Linked DNA regions of Sus scrofa. The protein of the gene in region 2 purifies or fractionates together with the protein of the main gene of each other region. This does not show direct contact. Links are inferred from orthologs where the notes say so. Each region holds a gene or a part of one and is shown on either strand. Other genes may lie near its edges.

The links. The genes of interacting proteins can lie anywhere in the genome.
Region 1: the proteins of FXR1 (region 2) and TDRD3 purify together in Homo sapiens (affinity purification with mass spectrometry; 3 studies listed by BioGRID and IntAct, with this or other methods). This does not show direct contact. The link is inferred for Sus scrofa from reciprocal best matches to the Homo sapiens genes FXR1 and TDRD3.

Annotation. Positions count from the first base shown.
Region 1 is NC_010453.5:33,255,279-33,260,913, forward strand, and holds the start of TDRD3 (tudor domain-containing protein 3), read left to right. Parts: upstream 1-2,343; 5' UTR 2,344-3,170; coding exon 3,171-3,211; intron 3,212-5,635. UniProt on the Homo sapiens protein: Scaffolding protein that specifically recognizes and binds dimethylarginine-containing proteins. Plays a role in the regulation of translation of target mRNAs by binding Arg/Gly-rich motifs (GAR) in dimethylarginine-containing proteins.
Region 2 is NC_010455.5:118,890,659-118,895,595, forward strand, and holds part of FXR1 (fragile X mental retardation syndrome-related protein 1), read left to right. Parts: intron 1-175; coding exon 176-379; intron 380-2,546; coding exon 2,547-2,747; intron 2,748-3,491; coding exon 3,492-3,572; intron 3,573-4,937. UniProt on the Homo sapiens protein: mRNA-binding protein that acts as a regulator of mRNAs translation and/or stability, and which is required for various processes, such as neurogenesis, muscle development and spermatogenesis.

The DNA of each region.
Region 1 (5,635 bases), on a different chromosome or scaffold from region 2:
TTGTCATGTCTCTTTCTCTTTTAATCTTAAGAATTCCCCTCTGACCCTCTCTTTTTTTAAAATTACATTTCCTTGGAGTTCCAGTATAGCACAGTGGGTTAAGTATCTGGCATTGTCACTGCACTGGCTCAGGTTGTGGCTGTGGCTCGGGTTCAATCCCTGGCCCAGGAATTTCCTTGTGCTGAGTGTGCACCCAAAATAAAATAGAACAGCCAAAAAACAACAAACAAATAAAAAGTCGTTTAAAAAACTTACATTGCCTATTTTGAACAGTCCAGGCCAGGTTGCTTGCAGAATATGCCACATTCTAGATTTATCTGCCCATTTCCGTGTGTTTTACTTGTTCCAATATCCCCTACATATCTCAGCCTTGGCACTACTGACATCTTGGATCAAGTGGCTTTCTTGTGCATTGCACAATGTCTAATAGCAACCTCCTCCTACAAGGCTGTGACAACCACAATGTCTCTACACATGCTAAACATGCTCAGAAGTTGGGGGTACAGGGTGAGCAGACCCCCCCCTGCCGCTGCCACCTGTTGGGAACTACTGTCTAGAAGCTTACTTAAGTTCAGGTTATACAATTTTGGCAAGAATATTTCTTAGATGATGCGTATTTCTGTAGGAACATAATATCAGATTGCCCCATTAATGACTCTTATTTAAGCTAGTCATTTTTTCAAGGTAAAGGTATGTTTTTCCCTTTTGTAATAAATAAGTTATGGTTTGATACTTTGAGACCAAATGAATATCCTGTAGTCCTTCATTATCTTACCCCGTGGCTTTTAGCATTCTCTTATGGACTTGTTCAAATCATTTGTAATTGAGTTGAAGAATGGTCATTTTCTCATTCTATTGTTCTACATTTATTTTAAAGTACACCTTTCAAAGAAAAGTTTTTAACCTTTATTAATAATATTATTATTACTTTTTATGGCCACAACTGCAGCATATGTAAGTTCCTGGGCTAGGGATCCAATAGGAGCTGCAGCTGAGGTCTATGCCACAACCATGGCGATAATGGATTGGAGCTGAATCTGCTACCGAGGCCACAGCTTACCACAATGCTGGATTCTTAACACACTGAATGGGGCAAGGAGAAAACCCGCATCCCTCTGGAGACTACATGGGCTCCTTAACCCGCTGAGCCACAATGCCTCTGGTTTTGTTTTATTTTCATGTTTACGGAGTATGTGAGTAAATATATCATAAATAGCGTGAAGATTGAACAGCTTATATCTCAAATTCCTGCATTTGGAATCATCAACCCATTTTTAAAATCACTTCCTAGAATAAGGGAATTTAGTGCTTTGTGGAACATTTTATTAAAGTTATTGTAAATACCATACAATGGTAAATTTTTCTTGTATACATTGCATGCGAGACCAAATGTATAAAGGCTTTGCATTTAACCAGTGAAGAATTCTGATGATTGGGACAACATATAACTTTCACAGTTAACATGTTACAGTAATCGCATAAAGTAGGTGGTTAAGAGAAGACTCTAACAACCAATAAAAATTATTAGCAATTCAATTTTGACTCATCTGTTTATCATCAAAACAATATCTTCCTGACTCCTGGATATTTTAGTTGTGCCTATAAATTGAAATAGACTTGTAGCATATGTATAGCTTAAACATTGTGTACTAAAGCAAAGTGTAGGCTGCAGTTATTTCTGATTCTAAAAGTGGTTGGAAATATGTTTCATTAAAATCAGTATCTAAGTAACGTGCTTGGACACACATTTCAACAGCATCAAAGCAAAGCATCGTGATTTTAAAACTATGTCTTTTAGGAGGCCCAACCAGAATACCCTAGTTGAAATAATAATAAAAAAAATGTATTAAGGAAATTTAGCTCCACCCAGGATAACTATTCTCTTCCTTCTGTAACTGACAATTTTCTCCCTGGTCCAAGAGCGGCTCTGCCCAGTTTCGCAGTCTCTGTTAGAAGTCCGTGTGGGTGATGAAACAAATGAGGCAGCCGTGGCTATGCGTCCAAGGTTTCAACAGCTTCCAGACGAGGGCCACAACTATTCGGAAAAACCCTTCTTTCCATCAGCCACAGCCCTAAAAGACCCCGGAGGGCGGAGCAAACGTTCAAGGCGCGTCTTCCGAGTCCACCGCCCCGTCTGCCTGTTCCTCCGATTGGCTGGCGTGGATCTTGATTACCCAATCACTTTGCAGCGTCTGCTGCGCCGCTCAGCGACGCTGCTGCGCATGCCCACTGGGGACCCGCTCCTACGTTTCGGTCCTCTGGAGAACCAGGGAAGGGCACCGGCAAGGGGCCCGGCAGAAACTAGGCCTGGCAGTGTGCATGCCAACGTCAGAGGGCCGCGCCGGGACGTGGCCCAGCCCAGTGGGAGAGCGGCAGGAAAAACAAGCACCGACACAACTGTCCTATTTCCCCATATCCCTTAAGTGCAGGTTTTCTCGAATTGACCCACTTACTTTCATTGTGGTGTGGGACCTGGACAGTCCGATTTGCCTGTGGGGAACCGAAAAAAATCCAATTATATTTGCATCCGGGGCAGATGGAAAAGTCGAGTGAAGTGGAGCGAATATTGATAAGAAAGTAAACTTTTCTTCTGTGTAGACTGAGCTGGAACACCCTTACAGTTTCACTGTACTAAACGTGGCCTTATTAGCGCCAAACTGGAAGCGCTTTCCCGCCATCGCCCGTGCGTCTCAGGTCTAGTGTTGTCCTGCCCTCTCGGAGGTGGCCGCCTGTCGGCGCTGGAAAGGCGGGCTCTCTACTGTACAAAGAACCGCCCCACTAGTCTCCGAGGTGTGCAACTCAGAAAAGTGACCCCGAACAAAAAGCAGCCGGCCTTCGGTGGAGGGGCCGCCCCATGCTCCGGGCCCGACAAAACTGGCCCAGACGTGCAGACCCCGGCCAGTCTTCTGCAGATCACCGCCTCCGGCGCGCTGCAGCTTCGCAGCCCAAGCCGGGCAGGCCTCCGCGGCCGCTCGGAAAACGCGGCCAGCGGAACCCGCACGCGGAAGCGCCCGGCGCACTGAGCATGCCCAGTTGCAGAGCCGACCAGAGGAGTTTTTTTCTTTTCTTTTCTTTCTTTTTTCTTTTTCTTTTTTTTTTTGGTCTCAAGTAGCAGACCTCCCCCCAACCCCCACCTGAGCCCCCCACCACCCCCGGCCTAAGCAGCTACCATGGCCGACGTCTCCAGCGCGGCGTTGTCCCAGGCGGGTTGGTAAGTGGCGAGTGCCGCCGGCCGCGGGCGCGGGCCGGGGCCCGAGGAGGGTTGGGGTTGGGGGCGGTGGGGTGCGTGTCGGGGTAGGCGGAGGCCGCCGCCCGCCCCCGGCCTCTCCGAGGGAACCTCCGGGACGGCTCCGCCCCCGGCGCCACGCGGAGCGAGCGAGTCCCCCAGCTCCCTTTGGGGCGGCGGCGGCGCGGCCTGGGCCCTGGGTGGCGGGAGACGGGCTGGGGAGAGGCCGGGGGCAGGCGGGCAGGGCGGCTGGGCTGGCGGCGGCGCAGGCCCGAGCCGAGCCTTCTGGTGGGACCCGCAGCGCCGTCTTGCCCCTCCGGGGGTGTTGCTCCGGCGGGACCTGGGGAGGCGAGGGCTGGAGAACCGAGTGCGGCGGAGAGGGACGAGCGCGGCCAGAGCCCGCCGACCCGCGGGAAGTTGAGGGCAGGGCAGAGCACAGCCCAAGCTGGTGGCGGGCCCCCTCTCGGTTCTCTTTATTCCAAAGTAAGGTACCGAACGCGGGGAAGCTGCCCTCCAGCTGCCCTCCGGAGCACACACACAACTTCTAAAGCTAAGAATGACCGCGTTGTCAACCCGTGTGGATGCTCCGTAGAACTTTTCTTGAAAGGATGGCGATATTCTGATTTAAAGATGTTTCATGTCAAGATTTTGGGACCTGAAACCAACTAAAAATTATGTGAAATTAAGCAGTTTCTGGAACTTCGGCCTTTAGGGTTTTAAACATCCAGTTTAATTTAGTAACGCTTTACCAGGCCTGCAGAGGCGCAGTCTGGGATGAGGAATGAGAAGGAGGTTGAAAAAGATTTGCCTCTGCTCTCTGGAAGTTCACTATCTTAGTGAAAAGAGGAGAGAGGGAGGCATTAAAACAACAAACACAAAAACAGGGGAAATTGTTCACAATTTCCAGAGAAGCAAAGGTGGTATGGAATTGGAGAGGAAGGAGAGTTAATTTCCTAGAGAAGTGGATTTTGAAAGATGGTGAGGAAAAGCTTTCTAGATCCAGAGTCGCTGGAGACTGAGGGACAGAAGTAGGAAAGTGCTTATGGTGTGCAGAACTGACATTAGATCCCTCTGGTGCCTGGAAATAGAAAGGTGTCCAATGAGGATTGAGACCTTAAAGTTTGAGGGCCAGATTATGGAGGTTTCAAGTGCCTAAAGGATGGATTTGATTTCGTGAGTAAAGTTAGAGTGCTACAGCTTTGTTTTGAAGAGGCTACTCCTGGCATTACAGGCACCTTACTTTACAGGCCTTGGAGATTGGGGCACCGAACTGTTAAAAAAAATGACTTAGCTGGAAAGTGATGGAGTTGAATGGTGAGCATAGTGGGCTGGTTCCCAATCTGGTGCTTTTAACCTTTGTTGTTCTTACGGTTTTTGTGTAGAGCACTATTAGCATAACAAACTGTGGAGTTGAAAACTCACCCTTTTAAGTTTTGTTTTTGTTTTTTGAACTGGAATTTCTGTATTCGGTTTTTTACCTCACAAGGTTGCCTTGAATAATCTTGAATCCCCTCTATTTGAGGTTTTTTTTTTTTTTCATTCTTTCCCATTGACCTTTAGTTCTTCAAACTAGTTGTGTGATTTCATTTATAGACAGTCTTTTACTGCTTTCTGGTATGATCCTATCTGTGTTAGAAAGGCTAACCTCATTATTTTGGTTCCAAACACATAGTAAATTGTTCTTCTTTGGATTCTGAGATCCTTAAGGGTGGGAAACTGTAACCTATGTTTTTGTATATCTGTAATGCCAGGGAGCAGCACTAAGTTGTAGATTCCTAGTAAAGTCTGATACAGTTGACCTTGGAGGCCATTCCCCTGCCAATCAGAATTCCCTAACCAGGGTCTCTACCCAATCATAGAGTTTTCCTGTCTTTGTTAGTTTGTTGTAAATCCCTACCAGTGTTATATTGTGACATTTACTACTTTGTTTTGCTACTTATCTGTTTATATGTTTCTTACACCAGACTGCAGCTTTTGTTTGGCAGGGACTCATAAAGTCAGGAGTAATCTATGGGGCTAGGAAGTCTATCTTTTTACAAACTTGGGAGTTTCATGTACTTTCTGATGAGTCTTGAACCAACTAGTCTTGTGAAGACAAAAGGATGACATAATCTTATGGGTGACTTGTATTAGAGCCCATATATGTGTGTGTATATATATTCATTTATATATATATTTTTTAATTCATTTATTTTTTTCTTTCTTTTATCGGCCTCACCTGCTGCATATGGAAGTTCCTGGGCTAGGAGTCGAATGGGAGTTACAGCTGCTGGCTTATGTCACAGCCACAGCAGGGTGGGATCCTAGCCACATCTGTGACCTACGCTTCCGCAGATCACAACCCACTGAGGGATCAAACCCACATCTTAAGGACACTATGTTGGGTTCTTAACCCTCTGAGCCAGAGTG
Region 2 (4,937 bases):
TTATTAGTATATCATATTAACATTTGATTATTTCTTAGTTAATTTCAGATTAATTTTTACTTATCTTTGGAGCAGCCAGAGTGATTTAAGCAGTGATTTGCAGAAAATAATTTTGAAAAATTTCACTCCTTTTTTAATAGAAATCTAATTGGCTTGTGTTTTCTTCTTTCCCAAGGTACAAACTCTGAGCTGTCTAACCCATCTGAAACTGAATCTGAGCGTAAAGATGAGCTAAGTGATTGGTCGTTGGCAGGAGAAGATGATCGAGAGAGCCGGCATCAGCGTGACAGCAGGAGACGCCCAGGAGGAAGAGGCAGAAGCGTTTCAGGGGGTCGAGGTCGTGGTGGACCACGTGGTGGCAAATCTTCCATCAGTTCTGGTAGTCTTTTATATACTATGTCAGCATCCTTTCTTTGTAAACAGTGTAATTTTATGCAAGTTATTTATTCATTTTTCAGGGCCACCCATTTTTGCAAGTTTCTCTTTTTAAACTGAGGAAAATAGAAGAACAATTATATACATAGCAAAATAAGGAAAAGCCCTATTAAGTGTTTCTCAGTGAAGGTTTAGCTAGAGTATTCAGGTCAGAGCAACTTGTTGGCTCATTTCTCTGTTTTATTGGTCAGATGTTTTATCCATTCAGTTTTTCGGGGCTTAGGTAAATTAGAACATTTTTTTTTTTAATCCCCCTAGCATTTTTCAGGTTACGTATTTCTGTTACCCAGACAAACCCAGGGATTCTAATGCGCAGAGAGATCTAAATGCCTTTATATACTTAATACTGAAAATTAACTGAAATGCATTCTTGGCTACACTATGTAACACTTTGGGAATAGGGAAAAATTGTGAAATCAACACCTTTAAAAAATTTTTATTGTTTGAGGAATTGACCTGTAAAGAGGAGTGTTTTAGAAGACTGAGATTTGAGGTGTATAAGCAACTTTTTATTCCTGTCTTTTTGAAAATTTCATATGCTGTAACTTAGTGGAGTTGTAGGAGTTAGTTGCCAGAATGTTGTTGCTTTAGCATAATGGGCTGGGGAAAAATCGTCAGGGAGATATGGACCTAGAGTATATCAGGGATATAACCTTAACATATTGCTGTATGGAATTTTTAAGAAAACCATTCTTAATGTTACATGCCCTGTGACAATTTATATAGTATTTTAAATATTACAGAACACACATGTACATATAATTACATACATACCAGACATGCTTACAAATAAAAAGAAAATAGAGTTCCTGTTGTGGTTCAGCAGAAATGAATCCGACTAGTATCCATGAGGATGCAGGTTTGATCCCTGGCCTTGCTCATTGGGTCAGGGATCTGGCATTGCCGTGCGCTGTGGTGTAGGTCACACATGTGGCTCAGATCCTGCATTGCTGTGGCTGTGGTGTAGGCCGGCGGCTGTAGCTCTGGCTTGACCCCTAGCCTGGGAATCTCCATGTGCTGTGTGTGAAGTCCTAAAAAGACAGAAAAAAAAAGGCAACTGGATCAAATCATACTGCTTACGGACTTTGAAAAAGATATTCTGTAGTAGATCTGGTAGTATGCTTTGGCCCTAAGCTCAGTTTACAGGGTTTCAGGGAATTTTTTTTTTTTCCCAAGTACATTGCTCACCATTATCAAGGTTTATAAAATTATAGTATGCTGAATTACAACATATATGTACTTTACCTAGTGTTTCTGATTAATGGATAAACTTAGTGTCTTTTGCAAAGATGCTAGCTTGCTAGCTGTTACCAAAGGAAACTTAGAAAGAAAAAATCGTGATTAGGTGAATTTCTTCTATAATTTGGTGGAGGCAATAAATGCACATAGGTAAGATGGGTATTTTTTCCTTATGAATTATATCTTAAAACCTTTCCTTTCCTTCCCTCACCCCACCTCACCCCACTTTCACTCTTTGTTTCTGGAGATGGGAGTCCTAGTCAACATTCATTTCCATGTTTGCCTATAACCAGTTAGAATTTTAAACTTTTTAGTGTGCTTTTTTGTGTAGACTTGTTTTGCTTGCTTTAGTTTGTAGTAATAGACTTCTATTATGTCATGGAGTAGGGGTGTTGAGTCTTATTTGGAAATAATTCATTAACATTGGCACAGAGAAGTAGCAGCCACTTTGAATTCAGTTATGGAGACTAAAAGCTCTTTCTTGGAATTAATTCATATTAGTTGAATTTTGTTTTCCTTTTTATTTCTCTAGCCTCTGGACAAGGTTAGCTAGGAATGTGAATGTAAAATAGCATGTAATAATATATTGTTTCCTAATATGTTTTCAAAACAAGTCAAAGATAAGTGGTAGAAAAGCCAAGGTGTCCACTCATCTTCTACTTTAATTTTTCATAGCCATTTAAAGTTTTTTCATATTTGTTATTTTTCAGGTAAAATAGTAATACAGAAAACATTTTATCTGAAGACAGTATATTTTTATTGGGGGGAAATTGAAGTTTCTTTATCATTAACATAGTTCAATGTAGATCAAAACATTCCGAATAACTGCAGCTCTCTTAAACAAATATTTCTTGCCTCTGACATGCATATAGTGCTCAAAGATCCAGACAGCAATCCATACAGCTTACTTGATAATACAGAATCAGATCAGACTGCAGACACTGATGCCAGCGAATCTCATCACAGTACTAACCGTCGTAGGCGGTCTCGTAGACGAAGGACTGATGAAGATGCTGTTCTGATGGATGGGATGACTGAATCTGATACAGCTTCTGTTAATGAAAATGGGCTAGGTATGTAAGCACTTAGGGAAAAGATATATATTATTGTATAATATTGAAAATGTATGATGCTTTTTTCAAAAAGAAATTCCCAGACATATGCAATTCACAAATTGAATTTTTCTTAGTGTTTACTTCAAATGAGGTAGATGGCTTTGTGTCTCTTTTTACATGTCTAGTTCTCAGATTTGTATAGCCAAATTATTTGAAACTGGGAGGGTTTATTAAAGTGCCCTTTTGATGCCATTAAAACAGTACAAATATTTCAACTGCAAGGCACTTAATACTCTTAATGTTCCTAAACCAAAATTGGGCTTTCAGCTTGCCTCATTAAATATCATTATAAATGATACTGATAAGAGGTGTGTGTACTGAATAGGTGTTAATTCAGCAAAATTCAGGCTAAAATGTTATTAACTTTGGTAAAAACTAAACTATTAAGAGAGGAAAACTTCATTCCTGAATGGTGATAATTTATATTACGTCTTAGAGATCATTTAATCAAGAATTAAACCCTCTTAATTTCCAGATTGATAATTTGATTTTTAATCTAGTAGGAATGTTTAAAATAACAAAAGCATTTTTCTAAGTGGGTAATATGTATTATCTTTCCTCTTTAATTAAAAGTTTGTCTCGCCCTTTCTTAAATCTTTGAAGGAAGAGAAAATTTGGGGGTTTTTTTGTTTTGTTTTGTTTTTGCTTTGTTTCTTGCTGTGTTCTTGTCAGTATAGTTCATGGTGAACTTTGCAATTACAGATGATAGTGAAAAAAAACCCCAGCGACGCAATCGTAGCCGCAGGCGTCGTTTCAGGGGTCAGGCAGAAGATAGACAGCCAGGTAACTTGAGTGGACCTGTTGACAACACCAGGTCACAAGCATGAAAAAAATGTCATGTGTCTGCTTTCTAAATATATTATACTTACATGTACACATGTGTGCATATACATTCAAGATGTGCATTGCATAAATTGTTTACTCAACTAATAAGACTACTATTCTTAAGAAAATGCATTCTTCCTTCACACCATAAATGTTTAGTAACCTGTCTAATTAAACTAATGTTGTGTCTCAATTTTTTACATGGAAATACTGTTGAGAAGACCATTATTTTGGCCACTTGGCAGATTCTGCACAATTGAGTTGGGGCCTGCCATCCCAGGGACTCTTTGTAGATTGTGATTGAGGTTGATTGGCAAATCTGGAAAGCTTTTGCATGGTGCCTGCTTATTATATCTGGATTCAGCACCTCATTTTTATGGGAGTTCTAATACCCACAGTTTAAAAAAGTATAAATGAGAAAAATACTTGAAAGTGTCTTTTTTCTAATAAGAGGAATGCATGTTACGTTTTCGTTTATTGTAGTGTAATGCCTTTTCCCTTACACCTACTAACTATTCAAATTAATAGTACTTACTTAGTTTTAGAATGTTAATTTAAGTAGATAAAATTTTTAGTAACTTAAAAGAAACTTGTTTGCTGTGTCTATACTATTTTGAACATAATTCCATTTCTTGTGTACAGAGAATTACATGTATATTCACAATGAAGAAATTGTGTGCACCAGAAATAAACCCCTTTTAAACTAATCAATTTTGCATTCTTTCCAAAGCAAATTCTTGTGTTTTCCCCAAATAAAGAATGTAAATTCCAGTATCTTCAGTATTTTAAGTTTAGTGGTTGTAGAGACATTTGAGAAAACTGGTTTTAAGGGTATTAGTTATCATTCTTGAAAAAAAAAAGCTCATGTTTTAAAGGTAGTTGTAAATTTAAAATGAATTAAATATTGTCAAAATAGGTTTCTAGGAAATGTTTCTTACTGTTTTCTCTCTCTTTAGTGTTAGAAATATCTGTTAGATAAAGAGATTGTATTTATTTTTTATTTTGAAGCTCTGGCATAGCAGTGAATGGTTTCTCGCCATATTTTCAAATTTAAGCTGTCAGTATGGGCTTGCTATTTATGCTGGATAAATTACAGCATAATTAACTAGGTGGATGGTGGTTCATTATGAAGTCAAAGGGTATGAAAGGACTAACATAAAGGAAATAGGGTTGAGAGATTTCTACATGGTATTAAAACTTGAGTAATTTGGAATTTTTAATAACTTGACCATTTGTGTTCTCTCTTGCAATTTATTCCTATTTTACTCTGTTCTTTGGAAGTACTGCTTTTCCCTTTCAGAATTCTTTGCCTCTCTCAGCCTG